3 linked regions of the Mus musculus genome follow. Each later gene encodes a partner of the first gene's protein in a complex. Links are inferred from orthologs where the notes say so. Each region holds a gene or a part of one and is shown in the gene's direction. Other genes may lie near its edges.

Region 1 (10,494 bases):
GGGTTCCATCCTCAGCATCGCACAAAGCAGCCACAACATCACAAGGCTGTCATCGCAGCACTCAGGAGTCGGTGGCAGGAGGATCAGAAGTTCAAGGTCATTTTGGCTACATAGTGGATTAAAAGCTAATCTGGGCAACACAAGACTCTGGCTCAAAAAACTAAAAAGAAAAAAGGAAAGCTAGTGTTTATATATGTGGTTTAGGGAGAAATAGTTTTCAAAGAACTGCTTCTAAACTTGTTGACTTATAGCCAAGTAAAGTCTGTCATGAAAAGGGTCCCCAAAGCAGGCCAAACAGTCCTTTATTTATTCGAGAACCCAGGAGCTCTCTAAATTCAGCCATCCAGTCTTCAATCTTTCTTCCAAGGCCTAATGGGGAAACCCCTATCATGTAAGGCAATGGAAGTTTCCTGACCTCACAGACGTCCTTGTGACAGCATTGCCACCCCTTAAGGGCCTGGAGACGTCACAGAGGGCCCCCAGTCTGGGCCCCGTGGCTTCCGGAGGCTTTAGGGGAGCCAGCCAGCTGCTCTAGATCCTGGCGGCAGCTGAGGCTGCGCTGCTGCTCAGGTGCGCTGGGAAGCAGAGGTGGGCCCGCCCCTAGGGTGTGGGTTGGGTGAATCTTGCAGGTGAAAGGCAAGTTTCAGGAAGGAAACAGGGCAAGCGAATTGTACAAGCAGGCCATTTAAGTTTTCTTTCGCGAAGAGACCCGCATCTTGCCAAGCCTCTTGAGGCTTGGTGGCCCTCCTACCAGACCGGTTGGGGGGTACGTGAGGAGGCTCATGTTCGGAATATGACCTGAGGTGATGTCAGGAGAATGGCTCTCTTGAATAGGAAGTGCATCTGTGACCTTTGCTCCTGCGGCAGGCATCACTGCCCACATCTCCCTACCAAGATTTATGAGAAGACAGAGAAACCATGTTTTTTCTCCGAATACTCGGAGAAGTATTCTACCTATCATTCTTATATGCCCCAAGAGTCCTTCAAACCCAAGGTGGAGTACCAGAAAGTAGCTATACCAATGGAAGGACTGTCCACAACAAAGAGAGACTTTGGGGCTTACAACATAGTACCGGTGAAACACCATCTTCCCGAGAAGGTCACTCCAATCCAAGATGAAATGGATTTCCTCACAACGTATAATCAACACTACAACTATTGCCCTGCCACTCGAGCGAGCCCCATCAAACCTCGAGACAACAGGCATCAATGTAATGACAAAATGGAGTATGAGCCTACGTACAAAGCTGATTATTTACCTTGGAACCAACAAAAAAGATCTTTGATTCATCCACCACAATCATACCGTCCTCCGTCCTGTAGGTTTGATCATAGAACCACACACCAGGACGATTATCCCATGAAAAGTCCTGTGGATACTGTGAATTACAAACCTCCACCTGGGCCCAAGCTCTCCAACCTCCCCCTGGAGAATATGACAAGCTACAGATCGAGCTATGTGGCCCATCCTGTGGAGAAGCGGTGTGTGTATGAGGGAGAGAAATATAAACCATGTGAAATTCCTTTTGATGGCCTTACCACCCACAGAGATTCCTACAAGGGTTTGATGGGGGAACCTGCCAAGAGCTGGAAACCTGTACCAAATCACTCTGGGCTAGGTATACCTTTTGCAACCGACACTGAATTTCGAGAAAATTTTCAAGCTTGGCCAACACCTAAGATTGTCCCCAAAGAGCCCATTCCCTACATCCCTCCTGAAGGAAAGATGGATCTTCTGACAACTGTGCAAGCCAACTATAAATGCCCCAATGGCGCTCCTGCTCAGTCCTGCCGGCCAGTCATCCACTTGAAGAAGAGTGAGCGATTTGAAAGCTCTACCACCAACAGAGAGGATTATAAACACTGGGACATCATCCCTAGAGAGCCAATCAAACCTGCTCCCCAGCTGAAATTCCCTGATGAGCCTATGGATTACATGACCACCAATCGTGCCCACTACGTGCCTCATGCACCAGTCAATACCAAAAGCTGCAAGCCAACCTGGTCCGGCCCTCGTGTAAACATCCCGTTAGAAGGTCAGACCACCTACTCTTCTAATTTTACTCCTAAGGAAATTCAAAGGTGCCCAGCTTCATTCTCTGAACCCCCTGGCTACATCTTTGAAGAGGTGGATGCTGTAGGGCACAGGATGTACAGGCCGGCTTCCAGAGCAGCTTCTCATGAGAGCAACCATCTTGGCTTTGGTGATGTGTAAAGAATTGGCACTCCCAGCCTGTCATTGAAGAATGGTTGTTTATAGAGATTGAAATTTCACAGCACACTAAAAGCAAACAATTGACGATTATTAATTCAACAAGGATTCCCCAAAATGAAAACAACGTAAACCAAACAACAAACTTCATCATCAATTTCAGGGCATTTGAATGGAATAAGAATCACCTAAAGAAAATGAGATAGAACCACCAGCAGATCAACTCCTTTTAACTCTCCCTCGACTGGACCTCCCTACCCCATCAATGTTCCTTGCTTTCTGCTCAAGAAAATAGCTCTCTGATCTAGGTGCATTTTATTAATTTGATCATTTGCCAAGCTTGAAGTGTCTATAATAAAATTTATGTTGGGGAAAATGTAAAATGGTGTGATCGTTCATTTTTGTTTTTTTAATTTTCCTTTGAGAAGTTTTGTAGTTAGCTGGGCAGTTGTAGTGTGTGCCTTTAATCCCAGCACTTGGGAGGCAGAGAGAGGCAGGTGGCTCTTTGAGTTCAGTGCCAGCCTGGTCTACAGAATGAGTTCCAGGACAGCCAAGGCTACACAGAGAAATCCTGACTTGGAAAACCAAACACAAATTTTTTTGTAGTGTTGTGGATTGAAACTAGATCTTTGGTTGGTGGTTTAGTCCCTGGGAGCTCTAGGGAACTCTGGTTGTTTTACCCTATTCCAACATATTTACTTTTTTTGTTTTATATTTTAGTTTATTATCCACTAGAAGCCTATTTGTTTCCTACTGAGAGACAGAAAGGGGATGTATATGGATGGAGGGATGTGGGGAGGAACTTGGTGTAGATGGAGGGATACCCTATTTGAGAAAAAATGTTTTCAATAAAAGAAAAAAGATCTGATTTAGATGAGGATTGTTTTGGCTTGGTTTGGTTTTTCTGAGACTGTGTGTGTGTGTGTGTGTGTGTGTGTGTGTGTGTAACAGTCCTGGCTGTCCTGAAACTCACTTTGTAGATCAGGCTGACCTTGAACTCACAGATATCTGCCTGCCTCTGCCTTCTGAGTGCCCGGTAAAAAGACACCACCACACCTGGTTTGAGAAATCATTTTTTATATGTAACTTTTCAACATATGATTATTTAATAATATAATTACTAATAGATTACTTATAAAATATATACATTACTGAGATTTCACATTGATAATGGGTTAGAGAAAATATCAACATTTCGATGATTTAAATGTCAGTTAATGGATAAATTGTGTACTATTTCATTCTGTTTTTCCTTGTATGTGAAAAGCATAGTCATTTTTCCCTTAGAGAAGGTCTCATATAGCCTATGTACCAACTCCCTATGTGCCATGAGGATCTTGAGCTCCTGTCTCTGCTTCTAGAATGCTAGGCTTCTGTGATGTCGGGGTTGGAACCATGATTTCATGTATGGTGGACAAGCACTCGACCTTGACTTGTATCCCAGCTCACTTTTCCATATGCAACAGATTTGTATATCGATAAACCTTTACTCAGATGTCCGTGGGGGAAATATTCTGCACACATAAAAATAGATTCCTTTTTATAAGAAAAAAAATCATTGAAATTCAAACTGGAACTCAGTATTTATTATGAGCCTTATTTTCATAATTATTCTAAAATCATACTTGTGAGAAACTTTGCTAACTGTAATCTTTCTGGCGCCTGATGAAAGGTTATTACTTGAAAATGGCTCCACAAAGAGGCAGACATTATGTAAATTGTTGTGGATCACGAAAGTGAATGTCTTCTCTTAGAAACTAAACATAATCTATATGTTTATGGGGAGCTAAGAATCTTTCTTCCAGGGACTTTTATTTTTACCACCTATGTACTCAATTCCTCATATAAATCAAAGGAATACAAACACCTCTGACCCTATATTTTGCCATTATTATTATTGTTTTGTTTGTTTTTCGACACAGGGTTTCTCTGTGTAGCCCTGGCTATCCTGGAACTCACTCTGTAGACCAGACTGGCTTCAAACTCAGAAATTTGCCTGCCTCTGCCTCCCAAGTGCTGGGATTAAAGGCGTGAGCCACCACCGCCTGCTTTTTTTTTTTTAAATGGTGCAATACTGCTACGTCATAGTACTCATATGTTCTCTACTTTAAACTTTAAGAATAAATTATTATTTTGTGACCACTGTTAGAAGAAACGCAGGTGGGAAGACCAGAGCAGCAGCTAGTACAAAGAAAAACTGCGATCTTGCAAAGCAGTCTGTGGGAAGAGCAGATTCCAGACTTCCTGGCTCAGTCTTCCTTGGGCCTAATTCCTGTGATCCAGACTAGGATCTTAGCCTTAGCGGTTGGGCTCGCAGCCGCAGGCCACGCCCACAGGAAAGACCCCGACCTACAGCTCCTGGCCTGGTGCTACCGCCACAGGCCCCTCCCCGCAGCTCCTGGCCCCGCCCTAAAGACTTAGGTCCCGCCCCTGACCCGGGTCTGGTTTTACCACTCCAGACCCTGCCTCACTGCCTCAGGCCCCGCCCCGTCGCCCCACTGTCAAGGCCTCGCCCCTCCGTCTTGGCCCCGCCCCGGCCGCCCGCCATATTGGTTCTTCTGCCCCAGTCGCTCCCTCTTGGAAGCGCTCTCGACGTTCCGGAGTCTCTGGCCTTCTTCCTGCCCTGGTTGCACCCAGGCGTGTTGGCGAGCCGCCCCCAGGACGTCCAGTGTGTGTCTGCAAGGTGAGCGGGGGTCATCCTTCCATTTGAGGTCCGGCCAGAGCTGGTTAAGAGCGCGCGTAGCCTGAGCTGAGCTGCTGGAGCGGAGGGCCGCCGGGGCGGCGGGCGAGCCAAATTGGCGCGGGTCAGTAGATTGCTGGGCAACAGGGGTAGTTAGCTTGTCCCCAAGTCTCCTGAAAATTCCTACGTCAGTAGGAAGAAAGACGGGTTTTCACATTCAAGCACGGGAAGAAGATCACACACCCAACCACTCGGGACATACACGCGCGCGCGCACACACAAACACATACACGCAGACCGACCGATCGGCCTTACTAGAGAGGAAGAGATATCCCTTCCAAAAACATCATCTCAGGAAAGAGATATACCCCAAATACTTGGGAATAGGATGGTGGAACGATGCTCACGGGACCAATGACATTACCTGGGTACACACTTACACATTAGTCTTTCCCCTAACCACACGGGGACACCCACATACTCGAGACCAAACCTTGCGCCACAGTGACTGACTAATGCTGGGGAAAGCAAGCTTGTGTTATTTGAGTTTGGCGACCTCTGACATACTACCCTTTGACCCACTCAGGTGAGAGAGCTTGGAAGATAAAGCCAGGGCAAAGACCTTGTAGGCGGTTGGGAACATCGTCAGATATCAGATCTTGGCCGAGGTTTCAAAATCGCGTTCCTTTCTTCCTTCCATCTTAGTGAAAAGACCAGAGGAGACTTTTAAGTACTGACCAAATGGTTGGTGAACGTATTATGGTTCTGTTTTGTTTTGTAAATGATGACACATCCCGTGATCATACTTCTTTTGAGGAATAACTTCTGCAAGTTTCCAAATTGGCACGTGACCAGTCTTTTCACAGCGTCCTCATAAAATCAACAGACTGAATTTGGTTTTTGTTTTGTTTTGCTGGTACAAGTTTTGTCTTTTTCCTTGCTAGCACCACTGCAATGGAAAATCCCTACACTGCCTGAAATCTCAACTAGAATTGAAGGAAACCCAGGGCTTTCAACTAAGGACTATTTACCTTTTTCTTTTCGTTCTTTTTCTTCCATTGCTGGAGCCCAAACCTAGGGTCTTGTGCTTGGCTAAGAAAGAGCTGTACCCCTGTGCAAAATTCCCAACTCCTGTCTCAGCTAAGGGACTTAAGTACCCTGCTTTTACTTTGTCTTTTATTTTTATTTATTTTTATTTTTTTAAAACCTTAATAGGTTTTTTTAAAAAAGATTTATTTATCATTGTACATAAATTCACTGTAGCTGACTTCAGACACACCAGAAGAGGGCATCAGATCTCATTATGGGTGGTTGTGAGCCACCATGTGGTTGCTGGGATTTGAACTCAGGACTTTTGGAAGAGCAGTCAGTGCTTTTACCCGCTGAGCCATCTCACCAGCCCTACTTTGTCTTTTATAATCTTAGGTCAAAGTTATCACTACTTGTGTAGCACTCCAAGTAACTTAATACATTCGAGTGTCGTGTTTTCATGTCGTGCATGGCAGTGTCTTCTTGCTTTTGGGGTTCTTCGTGTGCTTTGTAGTGTTTTGCTGTACTGAAACATTTATGGCATGGAGGCTTACTTATTTAGAACATTGGGGGAATTTAAGGATATTTGTGTTTTATTTTCTGGAAGGTTAAAGTAGACAAGCAAAAATCAGAGCATCTATTGTTGGAGAGTAGGAAAATACATTTGTGGTGGTCTCTCTTTTCTAGCCTGATCCTTTTACATTTCCCCTGTCCAACTACTTCCATTTTATCCTATAGTACTCTGAAGGCCCGAAGTTCTCTTAGTAATAGCAATTTCTTTTTTCTAGCCTCCCTCAGGATTTTTTCCCAATTGGGAAGCCCTACTCCGGCTCACATGAGCGGATTCTGTTTGAGTCAGTACTCTGTGCACCCTTTCGTTTTTCCTGGTGTTTCCAAAGCAGTGGTTCTGTTACAGATGAGAAATTTGCTGGTACCCGGGAGGGTTAGATTTCGTTTCCAAGGTCACCTAGGGAGTGAGGGAGCAGTGTTGAAATTCAAACATGTTTGTGGGCTTTTTGGAGTAGTAGTTTTGCACTGGGAGGCAATTTTATCCTCTCAGGGGATATTTGAAAAAATTTGGAGAAAAAGCATTTTTGGTTCATATTCCAGGTCCCACTGGGCTTCTGTAGTTCTTTAAGTACAATGTCATTTTACTGTTTAAGACAGCATTTTTATTATTTTAAAAGCTTGCTGGGGGAAAATTCTCTAAGGTTTATGACTACCTGGTAACAGAATCTATTTTTTTTTTTTAAAGCTTGCCTCAGCATTGCTGCTATGAAAAGGCTGGCATTGAATTCCTGATTTTGGGGTTACAGGGATGTGTTACCACACAGAGTTTCAGAAAATTTTTTTTTTAAAGACAAAAATGACAAAAAGTTTTGAGCTACTAGGCAGCTCTGCAGTTGACTTAGGAAGTTTGTCTTTTCGTTCTTCTCATCCACAGGTTGCTTTCGTGGGGCACTGGTCCAGAGGTGCTGCCCGGAAGCTGCTGCTACTTCTTTGAAGCTGGCAGTCTAGTCGAAATCTTAAGACCAGGTTCTTACATGGTCCTACATCACAATTTATTGTTTGGACTACTTGGCAGCAGAGGTCAGGTGTCATTTAATGAAAGAACACATCCTCACATAGCACACAAGTACATGTGTCGTGACATTTTTTTTTTCTGGACACACTTAGGTGGGGTGAAGAACAGTTGTTGGGTTCGTTAAAGCTTTGTAGTACAGTTGAATTGGGCATGTGTGCCTTTTTATTTATCTACATCTATTTCTTTATTTTGTTTTTTCCGAAACAGGTTTTCTCTGTTGTGGCCCTGGCAGTTCTGGAAGTCACCCTAGACCAGGCTGACCTCAAACTCCCTGAGATCTTCTTGCCTCTGCCTCCTGAGTGCTGGGATTAAAGGCATATGTCACCCCTCCCTGGTCGAGTTTTTAAATATAGTATATTAATATAATAGGGTCTCACTATGGTTTCAGCTGCCTGTGGACCAGGAGGCTGCCTACAATTCATAATCCAACTGAGTCCTTCTGCCAGTGCTCTTGACTCTTGAGCCATTTCTCCAGCCTATGTAATTTTCGTGTTGGTGTTTTTCGGCCTCTTTTTACCATGCTTGTCTGAGACCAGGTGTCAGTTATTACTGGTAGGTGAGTGTTTGGCATGGGGGATGGGTGTGTGTTATCAAAAAGTGTTGAAACTCCTCAGGATTTCCTGGGAAAATTCCCATAGTCAGTAGGTTGGTTGGTTTGCGGGTGTGATTATATTGTGTAAGGTATATATGCACATGTGTATTTAGAGGCCAAAGAAGGATGGGGAGTGTCCAGTTCTATATTCCACCTGTATTGCCTTGAGACAGTTTCTCACTGAGCCTGGAGCTAGGCTGGTGGTCAATAAGCTGTAGCAATCCTCCCATCTCCATTCTCTGCTAAATTGCTGGAGTGACCGGTGTTTCTGGGACTATAGCTAGCTTTTTCTTGTCAGTTCTGGGGATTCAAACTCAGGGTCTTTTTGCCTGTAAAGCAAACTTTCTTATCCATGGAGCCATCTCCCTGGCTCTGTGTCTTTGGATTTTGACCCTGCCATTGCACAGTGTTGTTCTTTGCTAATGAATATAGATTTCTCTACCTCTAACCAGATGCTCTGTTCTATAGTGTGTGTGGTGGTGGGGACACTGGATGCTGAATTTCATATCATACCAGATTGCTAGCACATGAAGTCTAACAAAGGTACGGGTTGTTTTGTTTTTTGTTTTTTGTTTTTTTTGTTATTTGTGACATCTCTCTCCACCACCTCCAAAGGTCATGAGGACTTGGTGCCAGGGAGTCTTGCTCAGTCATTACTTGTCTTGCTGCTCTAGTGTAGTTAGGTCACCACATTTCTTTCTTTGTAGAAAGATACACTACTTAATGTCTGCAAGAGTATATGTATCAGGTGAGACAGCAAATCATTAACTGCCACGTAATTCTGCCCTGGGCAGTTTGTTGGTTAAGCAGCAGGAGGAAATAAGCCAATTAGAAGTGGTGCCCAGTGAGGTTAAGTTGAAAGCTGAGTAGATAATAAAAGCTAGATAGTATAAGAAAATAGGGTTTGTGACTACCAGGCCATCCACTGAGGCCATGTATTAAAGGGTTGATGGGAAAGGAGGAGCTGAAGTCAGAAAATGCCTCAGGGAGTTTGGTGGGAAATTTGGAAGCAAATGAAAGGTCAGGTACTGAGGCCGGACACCTGGAGCCAACTAGGTATGTCTGTAGGTGTAGTTGGGTGTCAGGCCTGTGGCACTCCCAACCTGCTTTGCTTCAGGGTGGCTTGGCTGGTTAGATAACTTGGAGGAAAAATCTGTTTCCTAATGTGACTCTTGGTACTGTACATACTGGGTTGTGTTCTGGTTATTTCCACATTCTGGATTTTTCCATTACCTTTTGTTCATTTTTGACCGTGATGATTTCAAGCTGTAGAATGTCAGTTGCATTGGAAACACAGACAAGACATGGAGATGTAGTCTGGTTGTCAAGTCAGGGCTATATGAGGTGGAGGGAGTGTGTTTCAGAAAATGTGTACAAGTGAAGCAGGCAGGCCTGGCTTCATACTCCATGGACAGGAGTTCCCTTTTGTCTGAGGCGAAGGCATCGTGGTTGCCATTGTGTTGACGGGGGATGAGGACAGTGTGGAAGGAAGGACTCCACACATTCATTCCATGACCGATTTTTTTGTTTTAAATCTAAAGAGTAAAGAAAGAGTAGCAGAATCGTATATAAGGAAGGGCTCAGGTTCTGGTGGTTTGGATTAGGTGTCGGGTACAGAGGTTAGGATAGCCTTTAGGAGGCTGTCTCTCAGAAGCAGCTGTGTTAGCAGAGTTAGCGAAATGTGAAAATGCCTCACATTTATTTCAACATCTCACTGAGGAGAACGCTTAACAGATAGGAGTGTTGGATGATTCTAACAGGTCCAAAAAGGCCAGGCTTAAATACAATTTGAAAAATAGTTGTTTTGGAGCAGCAGACAGCTGCCATCCTTAAAATCTGCATTTAATTTTTCCTCTGTGATCTTGGGCAAAGTCATCTTTACAAAGTTAAGTCACCAGAAGGAATGTGTGCAATGCAGTGTTGAAATTGTGAACTCCCTTGAGCATGGTACCATACAGATGCCAGCATCTCTGCTCCCTTTAAACATTGTAAGCAGCCTGCCCTAGCCACAGTTTCTGAACCATAGGATTCGAAGGTGTTTTCCTTCCATTAGTGTTTATAGAGTTAAGAGTTCAGTGGTAAGGAAACAAGGCCTTACTGTTGGTTTTAGTTCCCCACCACTCCCTGTAAGTCAGTCTGTAAACTTTCCCCTGGGCTTGCAGTTGGGGATTGCTGAGACTTGGTTGCTGAGCTGGGAGCAGAGGCTGCACAGGCTCTCCATCCCTACTTTGCTACCTTTTCTCCCCACTACTTACTATATGCACTTGTTCAGGAAGTAGGTGTGCAGCGCTAGGAGGGTGCCTTTTCTTTCCCAGAGTGCTCCAACTGGTAGCCTTTATCTGTCTTGGTGGTTGGAAAAAGTGCTGGAGAGCTAGGCAGGGCTTGTTCAGTTCTGT
Region 2 (9,891 bases), on another chromosome or scaffold:
GCATTTTGGGGGAATGTTCCAGACACAAAAGTTATGGCTTTGCTCATTCATGACTCACAGGCCACTCTGGCTTCCTGTTGACCAGACCTTTTGCCCTCTGACCCCTCCCCCATAGACCTACCCGGAGCAGGAGCTGCTGCGTCTCATCTACTATGGAGGTGTCCAGCCTGAGATCCGCAGGGCAGTGTGGCCCTTCCTCCTCGGCCACTACCAGTTTGGGATGACAGAGATGGAGAGGAAAGAGGTTAGTTACCTGTAAGGACAATGAAAGTTCCAGGGTGCTGTGGAGCTGAGAACTAGACAGCTGGGTGCTGTGAGGCTGGGAACTGTGCCCTTGGGTACTGTGTAGCCAGGCACCATGCAGCTGGTATTATGAAGATGGGTACTGGACAGCTGGACACTGTGCAGCTGGGTGCTGTGCAGCTGTGCACTATACAGCTGGGCTCTGTGCACCTGGGTACTGGGGAGTTGAGCACTGTATACCTGGGCACTGTGTAGCTAGCTACTGTGCACCTGTGCACTATGTACCTGGGTACTGGGCAGCTGTATACTGTGCAGCTGGGCACTGGGGAGCTGGATCCTATGCACCTGGATACTGGGCAGCTGGGCCCTGTGCACCTGGGTACTGGGCAGCTGAGCTCTGGGTACAGTAGAGCCCTGGTTGCCTGTTACAGTCTTGTTGGTGAGTGACACAGTGAAGAAACAGGAACATGGAGGAAAAAAGCTATTTGGTGGAAATACAACATGAGAGAATTTTCAAACAAGCCGACCTCCTGTTTTGAGGTCATGTAGACTCCCGTGCCTTGTAGGAAGCATTGCAGAGACCTGTGTGACCTTTACTCAGTTTCCCTATGGTGACCTCCAACAGAACTGTGATGTCCTATGCTGTCATAGTTCACTGATGCTGGTACAGCATCCCACCCCACTCAGGCTCCTCCATCCTCCTGTGTGTGTGTGTATGTGTGTGTGTCTCCACATATGCATGCTGGTGTTTGTGTACATGTATACACACTGGTATGTGTGTCTGTGTGTATACAACGGTGTGTATGTACTTATTTTCTTATGTATCAAGACTTGTGCATTGCTGGTGCCTTAAGAATCCTCACCTTGGTCAGGTGTTGTTGTGTCTGGCCAGTAGATCACAACCTGGGTTCTAGCCTGGAAAGGCATTTTGGAAACCTGGAAGAGAAGAGGGGCTAGGTGGCGAGAGAAAGAAATGTAGCTAAGACAGGCATTCTGATCAAAGCTCAATTTTACTGTTCTGCACGCAGATATAAAGCAGGGGAAGGGGCCCGATTCCTGCCAATTAATCTTGGGGTCCAATAGCAGGGTGAACAGCAAAGCGGCAGGTTCCAGCAGTGGGCATGGCAGAACGATTGAGGCTGCAAGCTCCACCCCTGAGCAAGCAGGTTTCAGGCTGGGGGAGGGAGACTACAAGGTGTGATGGCACACACCTTTTATCCCAGCACTCTGGAAGCAGAGGCAGGTGGAGCTTTGTGAGTTCATGGCCAGCCTAGTCCACAAAGTGAGTCCAGGACAGCCAGGCTGTTACAGAAAGAAAGTGTATCTCGACAAACCATAAAAGAAACAAACAAAAAGAATCCTCACTGGTCCCTCTGTAGCCACGCCCACCTCCATCCTGCCATCATCCCCCGGGTTCCTCCTCCCGTCTTCCATTTCCAGAATCTTCTCACATCTAGAATGTTGTATAAACAGAGTTCTGTAGTGTGGAAACTTTGGGTATTGACTTTTAAATTCAGTACAATCTCTAGATCCATCCAAATTGTTCTACTGCTGCCTGTTTCCTTTTAGTGAGTTAACACTTACCCTGGGCATACACCAAGGTTTTGCTGATAGGTAGCTGGGCGATGCTATGAACCTTTATTTATTTACCCTTTTGGGCTGAGAACAGCTAACTACAGCTGACATCCAATGCAGGCTTTCTGTGTTGAGGAAATGCCTGGTAGTGAGATTACCGGGTCATACTGGTGGAGGCAGGTTCAGTCTTGAAGAAAACATTCTGGTAATCTGATATTGCCCTCACCTGATGGATGGGTGGGTGGGTTGGTGGGTGAACTGGTGGGTGAGTGGGTGGGGGGATAGGTAGCAGGATTTTGCTTATCTGGTAAAGTATATGCCTGACTTGGTTCCTGGGAAGATATAGTTACTTATCAAAAGAAACGAATGAGAAAATGGAGTAAATAAATAATAAGCGAATGTGGAAACGGATTGCATAATTAATAGATAAAGAATGAGGAAATAGAGAAAGTATGCAAACAAACTTTGATTGTGGGAGTGAATGAATTACTGAGGAGGGAGCTGAGGGGGAAGGAAGGTGGAGGCAAACTAGCCTTGCTCTGTAGTATTCTGGGCATGGACATCATCCAGCAACGTCAAGTGCCATTGACATTAAATGCAGACAGGCCAGAGCCTAGGGTGTTCAGCACCGCCTGTGCCCTTCACACGTGCCCACAGGTAGACGAACAGATCCATGCCTGCTACGCACAAACCATGTCGGAGTGGCTGGGCTGTGAAGCTATCGTGAGACAGAGGGAGCGGGAGTCCCACGCGGCTGCCCTGGCCAAGTGCTCTTCAGGAGCCAGCCTGGACAGCCACCTTCACCGGATGCTGCACCGGGACTCCACCATCAGCAATGAGGTAAAGGACAGCTGGCCTGAGGGAAATGCTGATGGGAGGGGCCAGGGTCTTGGGACAGCCGCACCTTCAGCTTTTGAGGGGAGGAAGAGCTTTAGAATCAGATATAGATTCAAGTTGCACCCAGAGAATCTTGCCAGTGCCTTTCCTCTGGGCTCTGCTCTTGCATCTGTACTGCGGGCGTGGTGGAGGTCTGGGGATAGCCCTGAGAAGACAGCATGTATCAGGTTTCACTGCTGCATCTGTCAAGAGAAGGAATGGAACCAGGTTTCCTGGATTCCCAGCCCAGAAACCCTTTTTGTGACCTTCTGTCTTTGCCTGTCTGGTTCCTGTCTATCTCAGTCATCCCAGAGCTGCAGCTCAGGCCGCCAGAACCTCCGACTGCAGAGCGACTCCAGCAGCAGCACACAGGTGACTTTCTGAGGCTCAGCTCCCCACTCTTGCCCCACCCCATCCGCAAAGCCACACCCACCCAGAAAGCCCCGCCCAATCCATGCAAGCCCCACCCTCCCATCTGCGGTGGTAGGGTTTGGATGTCCATCATTTATCAGCCGCTTTGCTTGATGCATTCAGCTTTCTATGGCTAGTATCGGAAGTAAACTAAGTATTGCAAGCAGTTGCTGTCTCCTTGGAACCCATAACAGTGGAATGAAGCCCCTGTAGACATCAGCATCCCGGGATCCAAGTCCCGGGTAAAATGACAAGGGTGTGTACAGAACACTGCATTCGCCAGGTCACCTCTAGGCCACTCACAAGCAGTGCAGTCAGTGCAAACGACATGGAAATAGCTATCAGGCTGTGCCACTAGGAATGAAGAGCCTGGTCTGCGCAGGTGCAGTGGTTTGTGGGTATTTTCACTCAGCATTGGTTGAATCTTGGACTCAGCACCTCTGAACTCACAGGCTGACCAGGAGCCTGCTCTCCTATAAAACAGCAAACCGCACGCCTGTACTTTGCTTCTGTCTCCTTCATCTCCGTCCTCCCTTGAAACAGTACTAAGATCATCAGTACGCTGTGTGGCCTTCCAGAACCTTCTGGATGCCTTTACACACACACAGAAATATATAATGTCTTAGGGTTTCACTTCCGTGAAGAGACACCATGACCAAGGCGACTCTTAACAAAGGCAGACATTTAATTGAGGCTGGCTTAGTTTCAGCTGTTCAGTCCATTATCATCATGGCAGGAAGCATGGCAGCGTGCAGGCAGACATGGTGCTGGAGGAGCCAAGAGTTCTGCATCTTGGTCTGAAGGCAGCCAGGAAAGACTCTCTTCCGCAGGCAGCCAGGAGGAGGGAGGGTCTCTTCTGCACTGGGTAGAGCGAGAGCATGGGAGCCTCAAAGCTCACCCCACAGTGACACACTTCCCCAAACAAGCCCATACCTATTCTAACAAGGACACGCCTCACAATAGTGTCACTCCTTGTGGACCAAGCATTCAAACACATGAATCTATGGGGGCGGGGGGGCGGCGGGCAACCAATTCAAACCACTATATTTGGTAGATCTTAAAATCCCACATAAACACTGGCAGACTTATTGTTCAACAACTTTTGGGCATCACTCTACTGAAAGCCTCATTAAACAAAAGGAAAAGCACAAAGCAAGCTGGAGTGATGGCTCGGTAGTGAAGGGCACAAGCTGCTCTTGCAGAGGACCCAGATTTAGTTTCCAGCACCCACATGAGGTGCCTCACAACTAGGTCTGACCCCAAGAGATCTGGCGCCCTCTTCTGGACTGCAAGGGCACCTGCATTCATGACACACACACACATATACACACACACACAAACATAAATGCATAAATAAAGTTCCCAGTATCCACATGAGGTGCCTTACAACCAAGTGTAACCCCTGAAGATGTGCACCCTCTTCTGGACTACAAGGGCACCTGCATTCATGCAGACACACACACACAAATAAATAAAAAGCATACAAATGTTCATAAAATACCTTCTGGGTAGTATAATGTGTGTGTGTGTGTGTGTGTGTATACACCAAGCCTATGCACATGATGAGGTCCCAGCCCTGCTCATGAAAGAGCAGAAATAGATTCAGTGAAGTAAAACTGATGGCAGCTACTTAGAGAAGCAGTGTGAGGCCTTGACCTGATCTTTACTGTGACCTTGAGGGTTGTGGCTGAAGGACACAGAAACACAAGCAAATCTAAGTGTTAGAGGTCCGTACAGTAGAAAGCCACTCCCCTCCCCCAAACTTCATTTCCCTAGTTGCCCTCCTCAGAGCCAGCTGTGGCCAGCTGAATCGCTGATGCGACCTCAGCACTTGGAAGATTGACAGCCATAAAGAACACACTGCCTTTGTACTGACTGCATGCTATTCCGCTACAGGCAGATTCCATACCGAAGTCACTCCTGTTGTTGGATATTACTTTGCTGCCATGAGCTATGTTGCCATGCGAGTCCTGACTCGAATGTTTGTGTGTACCTTTCCTCAGGTATTTGAGTCTGTGGATGAGGTGGAGCAGACAGAGGCAGAAGGCAGGTCAGAAGAAAAACATCCCAAAATCCCCAATGGGAACCCAGCCAACGGCACTTGCTCCCCAGACTCCGGACACCCTTCCTCCCACAACTTCTCCTCTGGTCTCTCCGAGCACTCTGAGCCCAGTCTTAGCACTGAAGACAGCGTCTTGGATGCCCAACGCAGCCTTCCAGCTGTGTTTCGGCCTGGGGACAGCAGCGTGGAAGATGGGCAGAGCAGCGAAGCCACCACATCCCGGGACGAGGCCCCTCGGGAGGAGCTGGCCGTGCAAGATAGCCTTGAGAGTGACCTCCTTGCCAACGAGAGCTTGGAGGAGTTCATGTCTATCCCTGGCAGCCTGGACGTGGCCCTACCTGAGAAGGATGGCGCGGTGATGGACGGCTGGCCCGGTGAGGCGGACAAGCCCAGTCGGGCTGACAGTGAGGACAACCTCTCAGAAGAGCCTGAGATGGAGAGCCTGTTCCCTGCCCTGGCTTCTCTGGCTGTGACCTCCTCTGCCAATAACGAGGCATCCCCTGTGTCCTCCAGTGGAGTCACCTATTCTGTAAGTCACTAGGAGTCTTAAAAAAATATATTTATTTATTTATTTATTTTATGTATATGAATGAGTACACTGTAGCTGTCTTCAGACACACCAGCAGAAGGCGTCAGATCTCATTACGGATGGTTGTGAGCCACCATGTTGCCCTCTGCCTTCACAGACTTTAGCAGAATAGTCTAATGGAAAGCTCAGACAGACTCACTTTCTTTCTTTTCTTTCTTTCTTTTCTTTTAAGGATTTATTTATTTATTTATTTATTTTTATGCATGTGAGTACATTGTACCTGCACAGATGGTTGTGAGCCTTCATGTCGTTGTTGGGAATTGAATTTTTAGGACCTCTGCTTGCTCCGGTCAACTCTGCTTGCTCTGGCCCAAAGATTCATTTATTATTATACATAAGAACACTGTAGCTGTCTTCAGATGCACCAGAAGAGGGCGTCAGATCTCATTACCACGTGATTGCTGGGAATTGAACTCAGGACCTCTGGAAGAGCAGTTGGTGCTTTTACTTGCTGAGCCTTCTTGCCAGCCCCAGACTCACTTTGACCATGATGTATCTATCAGTCATCAACTATTACATCCATGCTGTGTGGCAAGCAGTTCCCGGAAGTCAGCGGCTTCACCCCTCAACACGATGCCTTATACATATACCTCCCAGTGTGTGGGTCAGCCAGGAAGCTCTGCCCCAAGCTGGGTGTGGCTCAGTTTGATAACTGCTGTCCGGGAGAGGTACTGGGGGGTTGGTCTGTGTTTCATTCTCTGGCAGGCTAACCTGGATGTGTGCTCACTGCAAAGGCAGATGGTAAGCAGAGAGAGCTGATGTGCCCGTGTGTATTTGAGACCTCTGCTCTGTCTGGCTCCCTGACATTACCTCAGCCAACTTGTGGTAGAGTGGGCAGTGACAGAGGTCACAGGGCAGAAGGAGTGTGAAGAGAAATACTGAGACACGAGCCCTTCCTGTTACTCTGAATGGCTGCAGATCTCTGATGCAGAGGCTGGGAGGTGGGTGGGACCTGGAGGGACCCAGTGGGCCCCCCTCCCTCCCCCCCCGCCCCCGTCTGTCTAGTATGAATCTTTCCTTGCACTGTCAGAATACACACTTGAGTGATTTCCACAGGCTGCATTTCCCATCCCATGTGACATCACACAGGCCACAGGACTGGAACCCTGCCTACTCTGTGATTCTTCTTTTTCTGTGTCTTTGGTATCTATTGGGTGTGTGGACCTTTTCGAGCTTATGGAGGGGTACGTGGGGGGTACGTGCGAGCACCACGAGACATGCTTGGGTGCAGCTGCTCAGAAACCATCCTTCTTTTGCTGTTGAGACAGCACCTCCCAGTGGCCTGCAGTTCACCAATTCCAGCAGGCTGTCCAGCCCTGCAGCAATCCCCAGTGATCTTCCTGTCCCCTCCTCTTCCTCAGCTCTAGGGCAAGCATGTACCTCCAGGCCTGACTTTCTACATGAGTTCTGGGGGTGCTGAACTTGGACGCTTGCCGGACAAACACTTCACTGACCGAGCCATCCCCCAGCAGCTGAAGAATCTTTTAGGAAGATTCCTCATCCACATTCATCCTGAGTGACATTCCCTCCCTTGTTCCTGGCACATCCCTTTGCTGGGTACAGGGCCGCATGACCGCCATGTTTGCTCAGTACAATTGTTCCCTGGTATATGATGGTTCAAGTCATGTTTTCAACTCCACAATAGTAAAGAATGTATTCGGTGGGAAGCAACCTTTTTTTTTTTTTTAAAGATTTATTTATTTTATGTATATGAGTATACTGTAGTTATCTTCAGACACACCAAAAGAGGGCGCCAGATTATATTGCAGATGGTTGAAATCTACCATGTGGTTGCTGGGAATTGAACTCAGGACCTCTGGAAGAGCAGATGGTGCTCTTAACTGCTGAGCCATCTCTCCAGCCCAGGAAGCAAACTTTAAATTTGACATCCACTGGGCTGGTGAGATGGCTCAGTGGGTAAGAGCACTGACTGCTCTTCCAGAGGTCCTGAGTTCAAGTCCCAGCAACCACATGGTGGCTCACAACCATCTGTAATGGGATCCAATGCCCTCTTCTGGTGTGTGTCTGAAGACAGCTACAGTGAACTCATAAACAGGAGAGAAAAAAAGAATAAATAAATTTGACATCCAGATCTTCCCCTGCACCATATGTGGTATGATTTCTCCATGCAGAGAGGGGCAACTCACACACACCCGACCCTTGCTAAAGCTCCCACGGGCCACGCTATCCCAAGGGAGCTTCTGACCCTCTGCGAGACACCCTGCCCTCAGCTGGGATGCTCACAGTTTAGGTGCACTCCGCACGTTTTTTAAAACTTACTTTACTGCAACTTCTGAGTTTCTTCATAGTAACCCTATCACAAGGTGAGGAGTACCCCGCCTTTCAAAGACTCTACTCTCTTTCCAAGTCTGCCCTTGGTATTGGGGAGCTTGTCTAACAGCTATCCACTTAAAGGTGACTTTTCTCCCTTTCAGCAAGTTTTAAGATTCTATTCTAGGGGCTGGGGACAGAGCTCAGTCAGTAAAGTCTTAGAGGCGAAGGGGTCCAGATTCCATGCCCAGGCTCCTGTCTCTAGTCTTCATGTCTTTGGTTTATTTCGTGCTCATTATGCAGCTCAGGCTAGCCTTAAGTTCACTCTGTAACCTGCCTTCAAACTGACAGCAATCCTCCTGCCATAGTCTCCTGAGCACTAAATTGACAGATTAGCATCCTCTTTAAATGCATTAAGTGTATTTGTGTAATATTCTGTCTCTGATACAGATCTGTGTGTGTGTGCGTGTGTGCGTGCACTCGTACACATAAGAACACATATGTCCACCTGTAATCCCAGCATTCTGGGCATTGAGGCAGGAGGATTATGAGTTCAAGGCCAGCCTGGGCTACATCCCGAGACCAGTCTCAAAAGAATACTCTTTCATCATGCAAAGTCAGCCTAACTTATCCAGGAAACAAAGAAAGAACGAATTGAACCCCAGAGTGAGCGGTTGGGAGGTGAGGGTTAGAAATGGTTCTTGGGGGTCAGCGTCCTCATCTTCCTTCTCCTCCCACCCACAGCCAGAACTACTGGACCTGTACACCGTGAACCTGCACCGCATTGAGAAAGATGTGCAGAGGTGTGACCGCAGCTACTGGTACTTCACAGCAGCCAACCTGGAGAAGCTGAGGAACATCATGTGCAGGTGACTGTGGCTGGGGGGGGAGGGGTGCTGTGGGGGGAGGAGTAGTGTGGGGGAGGGGGAGGGGTGGTGTGGGAGAGGGGAAAGGTTGTGTAGGGAAGGGAGGGGTGCTGTGGGGGAGGAGGAGTGTAGGGGGAGGGGTGCTGTGGGGGATATCCCCGAGTTATCACTTACTGTGTTTCATCCAGGCTGCTCTCAGCTCTCATTGGCCAGCCCACAGGGCCATGGTTTTCATGGCACGCTTCCTTGTGCTTAGCTCTATTCTTACATGATCCAGTAGTCCCTGCCTAAGGAATGGAGCCACCCACAGTAGACTGGATCTTCCTATATCACTTAATATAAAATCAAGACAGTTCCACACCCTCCCCTAGACAACCCCACCAGCCAACTCGATGTAGACAACTCTCTTCCCAACATGACGATCAGAACTATCACACTGACTTTGCTCGTGCCCTTTGCCTCTCTCTGCCTCCGTCTCCTCCCCCCCTGAGAAATGTCATGATCATTCTGAAAGATTCAAAGATTCGAGGTGCATACAGGGTTGAGTGTATTGTCCAGGCAGTCCCCATATTTTTCACGGAATTGATTCAGATTTCGGACAGAATCAGTAGAGAAAATAATCCCTAGAGTTTGTTTTTTGTTTGTTTGTTTGTTTAAGATTCATTTATTTATTAAACGTAAGTACACACAGTGTAGCTGTCTTCAGACACATCAGAAGAGGGCATCAGATCCCATTACAGATGGTTGTGAGCCACCATGTGGTTGCTGGGATTTTAACTCAGGACCTCTGGAAGAGCAGTCAGTGCTCTTAACCGCTGAGCCATCTCTCCGGCTTTTGAGATTTTTTTGAGTCACTTATTTATGCAAAGTGATTGCCTCCTCCATGTAGCCAGAGAAAGAAGAGGAGCTTGGAAGAGATGTGTGGGGCTGAGTGGAGGAGTTGAAGACACCCTGATCCCATGATAGCACCCCAGAGTGGTGGGACACCTGCAGAGTCC
Region 3 (10,680 bases), on another chromosome or scaffold:
CGATACGCTTCTCTACTACTAGCCCCGCCCCTCTCTCCGAGCCTCCCTGCCTCACCTCTTCCTCCATAATACCACACCCTTCCTCTGCTCCGCCCCCTATGGCCGCTCCCTTTCTCCGCCCATTCCCAGCCCGTCCCCACTCCGCCCAGTCGCTTCCTCCAGTAGCCCCGCCCATTCCCCCGTCCCTCCCTTCCCCTTTCTGGCTCCACCCCTCCCTGAGTCTCGCCCAGTCTTTTCTTTCGCCCCGCCCTCGCCTCCGCGTATTTCTCCGCGCAGGGCACGCTGGGAAGTGGGGGGGGCGGGGCCTCGCGGCCCTGCAGCCTCGTCAGGCTCAGTCCCCTCCCGATAAACCTCAAAATAGGGTCTTACCTAGGGGGCTGGCGGCGTATTTTTTTTAGCAGGAACCCCAGTTTAGGAGTTCTCACTACTGGTTTGATGACGCCATGTCGAACGGATCTTCCAGGCGAAGAACTAGGGAGCTTTTGTGATGGAGTCAAGGAAAGGCTTGCCAGATGGGATTTGTTAGGGTTCCGCTCTAAAAGGTCTTGGGAGCGAGGACTAAGGAGAGAAGATTAATGTGAAATAAAGTATTAATGCTCTGCCTCGTCACGTGATAACCCTTATTTTTACAAATTAAATCGTGCACGTTGCACTGCATCTTTTAGCGCAACCTAGTGGCCAGTGGAGAAAGAACAGTTAAACCTGCCAAATGGGCTTTTGGCAAAGTCCTCCCTACCTATAGCAGTTTCAGTGCTGATCAAGTACATGCAAAGACTGCTGCTGAATATTGACACCAACAGTTAAGAGTACATGATATCCTTACCCAGTTTTATTTTTTCTTTTCAGAGACAGTGTCTCACTTGTGTAGCCTTGGGTTGGCCTGGAACTTGCCCCGCAGACTATGCTGTACTCGAACTTGCAGTCCCTTGCTTTCTGAGTGCTAGGATTAAAGGAGTTTGTGTCACCTGGCAAACGTTTTGTTTTAATAAACCTAGTGCTTTGTAACCAATACTTTTCAGATGACAGGTTGGCCACGAAAAAGAAGATGCTAAAGTTATAAGAACTTTGTGAAATCAAAAATACTTCATGTTTTAAACAGATAAACTGTTCTGTATCCTCGCTACCCCTATCCCCAACCCCACTGAGCCTTGAAGGCTTCACTTTTACTTGACCTAAATATGAGTTGGGTTTTTTTGTTTGTTTTTCCAGACAGGGTTTCTCTGTGTGATAGCCCTGGTTGCCCTGGAACTCTCTGTACACTAGCCTCAAACTCAGAGATCTGCCTGCGGTTGCCTACAAGTTCAAGAAGTAAAAGCATAACCTTTATTTAGAACCATGCCTGGCTTAAATATGAGTTTTCAGGATTCCATAGGGGGAAAGATAATTTCTGAAATTTCTAGCTCTTTGCTGCTTTCTGTTACAAGTTAGGAAAAAAATATAATCTAAATGTAGGCACAGTATAGAATGTCCTAGCTGGTTATTACTTTAAAATAGTTATACTTAAAAGTCTGCCAGAAGCCGGGCAGTGGCGGCGCACGCCTTTAATCCCAGCACTTGGGAGGCAGAGACAGGCAGATTTCTGAGTTCGAGGCCAGCCTGGTCTACAAAGTGAGTTCCAGGACAGCCAGGGCTATACAGAGAAACCCTGTCTCGAAAAACAAAACAACAACAACAACAAAATTAAAAGCACTACCTACTATTTAATAAAAGTAGGTTTCAACTTTTTGCCAGAAGTAGTGGCACAGTTCCAGGGCAACTAGAACTGCACAAAGAGACCCTGTCTCATTAAAAAAAAAAAAAAAACCAACTTCCTTTTTTTTTCCTTTGCTCAGTAATAATCTTCACATTTATGAAACAAAGATAACAGAGATTTATTATTGGTGTTTCACTGGATACTTTGCATTTGATTCAACTCCCCAAAGACCTAAGTTACTAAACAGAGTTCTCCTCTACCACCCATGAGGACAGGATCAAAGGAAGAGAAGTCAAACTCTCAGCTTGGTCACAGCACAAAAGCTACAAACAAAATGAACAGAATTTTTTTTTAAAAAAAAAGAGCAAAGCCAACTACAGTAGCCCAGGACTTTGATCCCAGCTCCTTCAAAGGTAGAGACAAAATTACAAATTCAGCTTATCCAGGCTACAGGGTGAGCTTAGGTCCAGCCTGGGCATCTTAGAAGGAATTTGACTAAAAAAAAAAAAAAAAAGAAAGAAAGAAAGAAAGAAAAAGAAAAGAAAAGAAAAAAGGGGGCTGAAGGTATAGGTCAGTGGTAGAGCATTTACCTAGAGTGGGTAAGGTATTGAGTTCAACCAACAAAACTGAGGAGAGGGGCAGGGGGCAGGGGGCAGGAGGCATTACTTGTGTAGCCCAGGGGAACAGAACATGATTGTAAGAGTCAAAAAGAGCCTTCTGAAGCTCCTTTTGTTAGGTACAAAATCGAAACACTTGGATTTCCTGTACCCTTTTTCTCATCTTTTAAACAATTCTAGGAGGCTGGAGATACAGCTGAATGATACAGTATTTGCTTAACATGGCCAAGGGCCTAGGTTCAAGGCCAACACTGCCAGAAATGTAAGCTAACTATGCCTTTCTCTGGCTTCCCAGTCTCTAAATAGTCTTCAGCAACATTTGGCATCTGAAATTCTGTTTCCGTTTACTGTATTAACCCTTTAAGATCAGATTCTTTGTCTTAGTCACCAGGTTGTAAAATTACCTGTGCCTAATAGTATTTAATAATTAATGAACAATTAATGGCTTAACGTTAAGAAATTATTATTAGCTGGGCCTGTGATCCCACTGAAAAATAAGGCTAAGGGAATACTCAGAAATTTGAGGCCAGCCCAAGTTACATAGGAAAAGTGTTTCAAAAAAGGAAAAAACAAGGGGCTGGAGAGATTGCTCAACAGTTAAGAACACTGATCTCCTAGAGGTCAATTCCTAGCAACCATATGATGACTTTTTTTTTTTTTTAAAGATTTATTTATTTATTATATGTAAGTACACTGTAGCTGTCCTCAGATATCCCAGAAGAAGGCATCAGATTTCGTTATGGATGGTTGTGAGCCACCATGTGGCTACTGGGACTTGAACTCGGGACCAGTCGGGTGCTCTTAACCCCTGAGCCATCTCGCCAGCCCTGTTTGTTTGTTTTTCAAGACAGGGTTTCTCTGTGTAGCTCTGACTGTCCTGGAACTCACGCTGTAGACCAGGCTGGTCTCAAACTCAGAAATCCGTCTGCCTCTGCCTCCCGAGTGCTAGGATTAAAGGTGTGCTCCACCACTGCCCGGCTTATTTACAAAGCACTGCACAAAGTCTTGTAAACTTATTTATTTAGCTCGGGGGGGGGGGGGGGGGACGACGACGACGACCATTTTATCCACGAGTAATTAAATACCTTGTTTCAAATACACATAGCTAGTAAGCGGCGGAGTTAGGATTCAAAGTCAAGTTCTTTCACATTAAACTATTCTGTCTCAGAAGAAGCCACAACAGTTAAAGATTCTATTTGGGGTGTAAAGTTGTGGAATAACAAGGGTCCTGTGGGCTGGGCGGAAGTTTGTCGTTCTCTATGCCTGTTTTTGTCTTTGTGCATTCTGGGCTAGTATAGCATTTTTGGAATCGGGTAGGGCACTTACAAGTGTAACCCAATATCAGCTATTCCTAATGCCCGGGTTTCTCCGACCAATTGCTCCTTTGTCTATTCTTGGGCAAGAGCAAGAGCAGATAAATGCAACCAGTGTGAAGGAGAGGCGTGCGGATGTTCCAGAGTGCGTGGCACGGCGAGTACCGAGCCGCCAGCAGGCCCTCTCCACGCCCGCCTTCCGGGCCAGTGGCCTGCGCCTCCTGCGGCCCCTCCCGCCCCCACCGAGGCTTGGCCCAGCCGCGCCCGGGCCTAGAGAGAAAAAGTTTCCAAACCTCGCTTCTTTGCGCTGATTGGCCGAGTCAGACGCGTCCCGAGAGCGGCAGCCAATGGGAGGCGCGCACCGCGCAGTACCGGCGAGGCTGGAGGGCAAGAAAGGCCTGCCGGCCCGCGCCTCGCTGGAATCGTCGCCGCCCGGGCTGGGTAAGTGGAGCCAGGCTGCGGGCGGGTCTCCGCCACGCCCGCAGCATCCATCCGACGTGTCCCCCACACCTGCCCTCCTCAGCTTTCCACCTTCCATCCGTGAGCTCCGCCGCTCGCCCTGGCCAACTCCGTTCCTCTTCTGCTGGCTGCTTTTCTATCCTCGAACGTCCTCAAGACCCATGCCCACGCCGCCCCAAGGCCCCCGAGTTCTTAGTCTGCCCCTTCACCCCACAGTTTCCGGGTCCCCAACTGCTGCCGCACGGATACCAACCTATATCCAACCTTCCCCTCGATGCCTATAGGTCTCGGCCGCTGGACGTTTCAAATTTCCCTAGACAGCACTTTGGATCGGATAAACTTTATCCGACAAAGGGTGAGAGTGCTTACCCCACACCTTGGATGTTGGCCCAGCTCACCTCTACCTCTTTGAGGTCCTGGGCAACCCGGAGTCACCTTGACTCCGGAGCGACTTCATATTTCCTAAATCATCTCGACTTTTTGCCAGGTTGTGCATCCTTCTGCGCTTTAGCCGGATCCTCGCTCAACTTCTCTAGCTGGGTGGAGGTTTGTAATTGGCTCTGCCACCTGTTTCTGTGTATTGTGTGTTAGGATAACATTTTAGGACTCAGAAGGGGTGCTTTTGAAGTATAGTCTGATAGAAACTACTCCAGAGCCTGAGGGTATCTGACCACGCACTTCTCTTCCCCAGCACACTGGTATTCAGCCCGTTTTGAGGTTTAAGTAATTCCCCTTTCAGAATTCCATATGGAGTTCAGTAAGAGGAACTTACAGAACTATGACCAACCCTCCAACCCCTCTGAAGTCGCATGTCTTTGTACTTAAGCAGCAAGAAGACAAGCTAGGCTTAGTGACTGACTCTTGATGTGTTTGACCTGGAACTTGCTCTATAGACCAGGCTGGCCTCGAACTCAAGTTGATTCTCTTGCCTTTGCCTCCCAAGTGCTGGGATTAGAGGTGTCCACCATCACCTGGCTCCCATTCACGTCTTGTTTATTTGAGAGAGATATAAACTTGGGCTGGAGAAGGGTATTGGTTCATTCGATATTGGCATCGAGTATTGGTGATCAGCTTGGCTAGCTTTCTTCACTCAGACATCACTTTATTTCTTTCCTAGAAATTTGAAATTAGAGGTGTGTGACTTGTGTGTGTTCTCAGACAGTTTTGTAGACTTAATTTTGGGGGACTCCTCCCAACAAAACCAATCCTAAGGACTGAAAGTTCTTATTTCAAAGTGTGAGGACCTAAGTGATGTCCCCAGCACCAAAAAGCTGGTGTGATGGTGCACACCTGTGATTTGCAGTACCCAGCTTGGGGGACAGGGGGGCCCTGAGGCTTGCTGCCCAGTGCAGGAGAATGTGAGCCCTGGGTTCAATGAGAGACCTTACCTCAAAAATAAATAAATAAATAAATAAATAAATAAAATTAAAAAGGTGGAGAGTGATAGAGGAAGACACCTGATGTCACTTCTGACCCTGCATGCACACAAACACCTGCACACACACACACACACACACACACACAAACCCCACTTCTGGCTCCTCATGCACAGGAATACTTTGCACATACACAGAAACCCCGTGCTGAAATGAATTCTTAGACGTGTAAAACCACCTTACGGGAAACAGGTACTTTTTAAAATTTGCTTTTTGAATTTTGTGTGGTGTGTGTACTTGTTAGCATAGAGGTACTGTGTGGAGTACCAGAAGTCTATAAGAGGACTCTTTCTTCTGTTGTTTTCCATCTTAACTCTTGTATTGATTTATTTTAAGTTTTTGAAACTCCTTAGTTGGGCTAGGTTGGCTGGCCGCTGAACTTTAGGGATCTTGCCTATCTCTGTCTCCCCACACCTAGCACTGGGATTGTAGAACACCAGTGTGCAGCTTTTTACATGGGTGTTTTGTATTTGAACTCAGGCTCTCGTGTTTGTATGAGAGCCTTTTACTAGTTGAGCCATCTCCCCTGCCCTACCAAACATATTTGTGTGGTCCCTGAATTGGTCCACAGAGGCGTAAGATAGCAAGCACCAAGGCATTGAAAAGCAAGTTACCAACACATGAGTAATATAAATGCACACCATATTCTCTTGGTTTTTGATAGGACTTGGAATTAAACCCATGTGCCTTAGCCGAGGTCTCCCCTGCCTGAGCTGGTTACCTAGTGCTTTGTTTCAATTTTATTTTTGAGATAAGAGTCTTGGTCTTTCTAAGTTGTCCAGATTGGACTCACATTTAGAAATCCTCTGCTTCACATGTCATAGTAGCTGGGATTGTAGGCGTGGACCACCACTCTGTTTTTAAGATAGCAGGCACAAAGCTATGTGAACTGCAACCTGGTATTAACACCTATTATAATGGTGTTTTTAAAAGACTGTGGTCCAAACTGACTTCCTGCCAATCTATGTGCAACTTTGCAGTTCTTGAATTGACTTCAAAAAAGACATAGTGCATTCGGGTCTAGTTGCTTCCACCACTGCTTCATGGTTGTTAGAGATGATCAAGGCTGCAGTAGCTGCTGCCTCTGGCTGTTCCTGCTCCTCTTCCTCCCCCCTTTCCCTTCCTCTTTCTCTTTTTTCCCCCTTCTCTATTCCCTTCCTCCTCATTTTTTTCTCACTATCATCTCAGGGTTCGTGTGGCCCAGGCCTTCTCAAGGATGGCCTTGAACTTCTGACCCTCCTGCTTCCGTCTCCTTGATGCTGAGATTCCAGGCATGCAAGTGATGGAACCCTAGACTTCACAAATGTTAGGCAAACCCTGTACCAGTGACTGCTCTGCCCATCTCCTAGAGCAGAACAGCCTAAAGAGGTTAAAGTCTCTTGAAAAGTTATTCCACAGTAAACTTCAATAAATAACTCTGAAAGAAACGACTCTTCATGAGACACTTTGCATGCTTTCTGTGGTAGAGAGCAGTGCTGCAGGGGTTTGAGGGACAATTCCAAATAAAAAGGAAAATCTTATATTTTGAAGATTGCAGTTTCTTAAGCAAGAGATGTAGCTGTCACTTATCTCTTGTCGCTTTCCCCCTCCTTTTGAAATGTTTTTAGAATGTGTATGGTTTTGATGGACATGCCATTCCTGTGCTGCCAGTTGGTGTGTGAGTTATCAAGCTGAGTTCAGGTCCCTGCCCAGTTTCTCTGCAGTACTTGAGATTCAGATTCGTAGACTCTTTCTTCTCTGTAATGAAGGCCTCGTCCTCCCATCTGTGAGAGCAACACTGTGATGATAGTTTGTATGTGCCCTATCGAGAGGGTAAAAGGGTGTGGGCCTGTTGGAGAGGGTGTGGGCCTGTTGGAGTGGGTGTGGCCCTGTTGGGATAGGTGTGGCCCTTTTGGAGTAGGTGTGTCATTGTGGGTGTGGGCTTTAAGACCCTCATCCTAGCTGCCTGGAAGTCAGTATTCTGCTAGCAGCCTTCAGATGAAAATGTAGAACTCTGGGCTGATGAGATGGCTCAGTGGGTAAGATCACTGACTGCTCTTCCGAAGGTCCTGAGTTCAAATCCCAGCAACCACATGGTGGCTCACAACCATCCGTAACAAGATCTGATGCCCTCTTCTGGAGTGTCTAAAGACAGCTACAGTGTACTTACATATAATAATAAATAAATCTTTGGGCTGGAGTGACGAGCAGGGCCTGAGTGAGCAGAGGTCCTGAGTTCAATTCCCAGCAACCACATGAAGGCTCACAACCATCTGTACAGCTACAGTGCACTCATATACATAAAATAAATAAATAAATCTTTTAGAAAGAAAGAAAGAAAGAAAGAAAGAAAGAAAGAAAGAAAGAAAGAGAGAAAGAAAGAAAGAAAATGTAGAGCTCTTAGCTCCTCCTCCACTATGCCTGCCTGGATGCTGCCATGCTCCTTCTTGATGATACTGGACTGAACCTCTGTACCTGTAAGCCAGCCCCAATTAAGTGTTGTTCTTCTAAGAGTTGCCTTGGTCATGGTGTCTGTTCACAGCAGTAAAACCCTAACTAAGACAAACACCTCCCCTGTAACCCACACACATAACTTCCATCAGTTTCTTTCCTGAAGATCAAGTTTTAAACTTCCCTAGGAGGCAAGTTAACAATGATTCGAGAAGTTTTTTATTTTTTGTTTTTCCTGCTGAGCACTGTGGCACATGACTACAGTCCTAGCACTTAGGAGGTAGAAGCAAAAGGATCATATGTTCAAAGTCAGCATGAGATACATAATGAGTTCCAGGCCAGCTGGGGCTACATAGTAAGATCCTGTCTCAAAGACCTCTCTCCCCTTCCCCTCCTGTTTCCTTCTCTGCCTCGCCCTTCCTCTTCTCTGTATGGGTTCACGTTCATGTGTGTGCAGGTGTGTGTTCATATGGAGGTCAGCGCTTGTAAGACAAGGTCTGTTGTGTGTAGCGTGTATACCAAGCTAGCTGGCTCATGAGCTTCTGAGGAACCTGTCTCTGTCTCTTGTAGTGATGTTTTTACAGCCAAAAAGTAGTGTTGGTTTTGTCTTGAAGAGTGATTTTTGTGTGTATACACGTGTGGACACCCATGAAGGTTGACATCTGATGTCTTGGTCACTCTCCACTTTTTTTTTTTTGATAGTTTTTATACACTTTGGCCATACTCAGCCCTCCATGCTCTCTTCAATCCCCACACCTCAAATTCTCATTCCACTATCTTGTCTTGTTTTTGTTTTTGCCTTGTGACGTACTGGTGTCAACGAACCTGAAGCCCACTGATTTGGCCAGACCAGCTGGCCAATGAGCTCTGGGGAACCTGCTGTTTGTTCCACACAACCCTCCAGCACTGGGGTCATAGCCTAACTTTTTACATGAGTGTTTGGGATTGAAACACAGGCCCTCAAGCTGTGTGACAGGCAGGCACGCTACCCACTGAGCCATCTCCCCGGCCTATCCCCTCCCCCACTTTATGCCAGGTCTCACTGTATTGCCCAGGTTGCTTTCCGATTCCTAGGCTTGGGCTGCAAACCTCCTTTCTCCATTTCCCAAATGGCACCTCTGCACCAGGCTCCTGTTGTTTTGAACGTATCCTGGGCTCTGTTTTCCTCCTTTGTTCTGGGCTCTAATTTTATCTACCTTCCTTTCTGTTCCTGAATTGCTGCGCAGAAGATCCATTTTACTCCTTGACCCTCCCCAGCCAGCCACGCCACCAGGATGAGCCTCTGAGCTGAAGAGTCCGTCTGTCACCGAGTGCCTCAGTGGCTCCTTGTGGCAACCAAGCCTTCCTTCTTTTCTCCTTGTATCCTCTGTCTTTCCGGTGTCTTTCTCTGTGGCCCAGGTTAGCTAAGGATCTTACATCCTCCTGCCTCAGCTTCCCGAGTGTCCACCACTGTACAGTTTGGCAGTAAGTTTGTTAATGTGTTTGAAAGGCTGCCTGTGATTTAGCCCTGGAGTTCAGTCTCTGCTCTTTCCCTCGTCCACTTTCAGTCTTCCTCGGCTCCCACATAAGCCTAGCTACTGCTCTGCTGTCTGTGAGTTTGGTGTCTGTTTTCCTATTCTACTCTTCTTTGAGACAGGGTCTCAGACTGGCCTTGAACTTGTGACCTTTTGGCCTCAGCTTCCTGAGTGTTGGGATGCCAGAGGCACCATGCCCAACTCTTCCAATGCTACTACCTCTGCACCACCTTGCCAGGCAGCCCACCTTGACTTCCTGGCTGAGTTTTGGGGAATCTGTATCACAGTGCTGCTTCTCACAGGCGCATGCATGTCGAAACCTACCGACAGTTGTCTACACGGCAGCCATTTGTTGTGGGTCAGCATCGCATGCGGAGGGCTGTCCCTGTGCTCACCTGGGGCTGTACAGTAATTTATGTAGAACTTCCCTTCCCTTCCGACACAAGTCCCCCAGAGGAGCCAGGGATCTAAAAGACATCTTATTTGGATCTAAGGGCTAGGTACTAAGTGTTTGTGGGGAGATATACATAAGCCCTGGGCTGCAACTGAAGGTAGGCTACTTTTTATTTGGATTTAGTTTTGGTTTTCGAGTAAGCATCTTTTTTTATTTGATCTAGCATGAAGTTTGGGCTTTTAGGGTTGTTACCCAGAAAAGTCACTAATAATTTTCAAACTTTTCTCCTAGACATCATGCCACAGGAAGAGTGAGCTTTTGCCCATTTTACCATGGAGGACTCGGGAAAGACCTTTGAATCAGAGGAGGAAGAAACAAACTATTGGAGAGACCTGGCCATGACCTACAAACAGAGGTCAGTCCTGCAGCTTCCCTCCCTGTTTTCCAGGGGAGTGTGGTGGGCACCACGAATGCAGCCTTACCGTGAGATGAGGAAACAGGGTCTCTTTTCTCTAAAGAGGCCCCTGAGCAATTGGGAAGTCAGACAGCCTGCTTAAGGCAGCAGCTGTGAGAGGTAGGGTTGGGATTTGAACTACAAACTGAGTCACCTAACCTTTATCTGTGTCTGATCTTCTGTGGGGAAGATTTACCTGTGCCTATCTAAATAGACTGTTGCTGCAGAGTTGCTCAAGGCCAAGAACACTTGTTCTTGTAGAGGATCCAGGGTCAGTTCCCAGCGGCCACATGGTGACTCACAGCTGTCCTTAACCCTAGTTCCAGAAGACCCAGTACCTTCTTCTGATCTCCTTGGGCATTAGGCTTGC

Evidence for each region.
Region 2: the proteins of Rab9 (region 1) and Sgsm1 are in contact, whole or in part, in a crystal structure (PDB 4QXA), measured with the Mus musculus proteins. Residues at the interface, in NP_062747.1 of Mus musculus: Phe37, Thr39, Ile40, Gly41, Val42, Glu43, Phe44, Leu45, Trp61, Arg68, Phe69, Leu72, Phe76; in NP_766306.2 of Mus musculus: Leu256, Leu257, Tyr258, Gly259, Lys260, Asn261, Asn262, Tyr277, Asn294, Met297, Asn298, Gln361.
Region 3: the proteins of Rab9 (region 1) and Nde1 are in contact, whole or in part, in a crystal structure (PDB 7E1T), measured with the Homo sapiens proteins. The link is inferred for Mus musculus from reciprocal best matches to the Homo sapiens genes RAB9A and NDE1. Residues at the interface, in NP_001182257.1 of Homo sapiens: Ile40, Val42, Phe44, Asn46, Gln59, Trp61, Arg68, Phe69, Ser71, Leu72, Pro75, Phe76; in NP_001137451.1 of Homo sapiens: Asp99, Gln102, Thr103, Ala105, Ile106, Gln109, Leu110, Tyr113.

What each region holds. Positions count from the first base shown.
Region 1 is NC_000086.7:166,473,941-166,484,434, reverse strand, and holds the start of Rab9 (ras-related protein Rab-9A), read left to right. Parts: upstream 1-4,567; 5' UTR 4,568-4,895; intron 4,896-10,494. UniProt on the Homo sapiens protein: The small GTPases Rab are key regulators of intracellular membrane trafficking, from the formation of transport vesicles to their fusion with membranes.
Region 2 is NC_000071.6:113,259,054-113,268,944, reverse strand, and holds part of Sgsm1 (small G protein signaling modulator 1), read left to right. Parts: intron 1-115; coding exon 116-244; intron 245-2,475; coding exon 2,476-2,658; intron 2,659-2,997; coding exon 2,998-3,066; coding exon of another isoform or gene 3,067-3,078; exon of another isoform or gene 3,079-3,271; intron 3,272-5,108; coding exon 5,109-5,696; intron 5,697-8,771; coding exon 8,772-8,896; intron 8,897-9,891. UniProt on the Homo sapiens protein: Interacts with numerous Rab family members, functioning as Rab effector for some, and as GTPase activator for others. Promotes GTP hydrolysis by RAB34 and RAB36.
Region 3 is NC_000082.6:14,159,305-14,169,984, forward strand, and holds the start of Nde1 (nuclear distribution protein nudE homolog 1), read left to right. Parts: upstream 1-3,970; 5' UTR 3,971-4,064; intron 4,065-10,146; exon of another isoform or gene 10,147-10,147; 5' UTR 10,148-10,188; coding exon 10,189-10,271; intron 10,272-10,680. UniProt on the Homo sapiens protein: Required for centrosome duplication and formation and function of the mitotic spindle. Essential for the development of the cerebral cortex.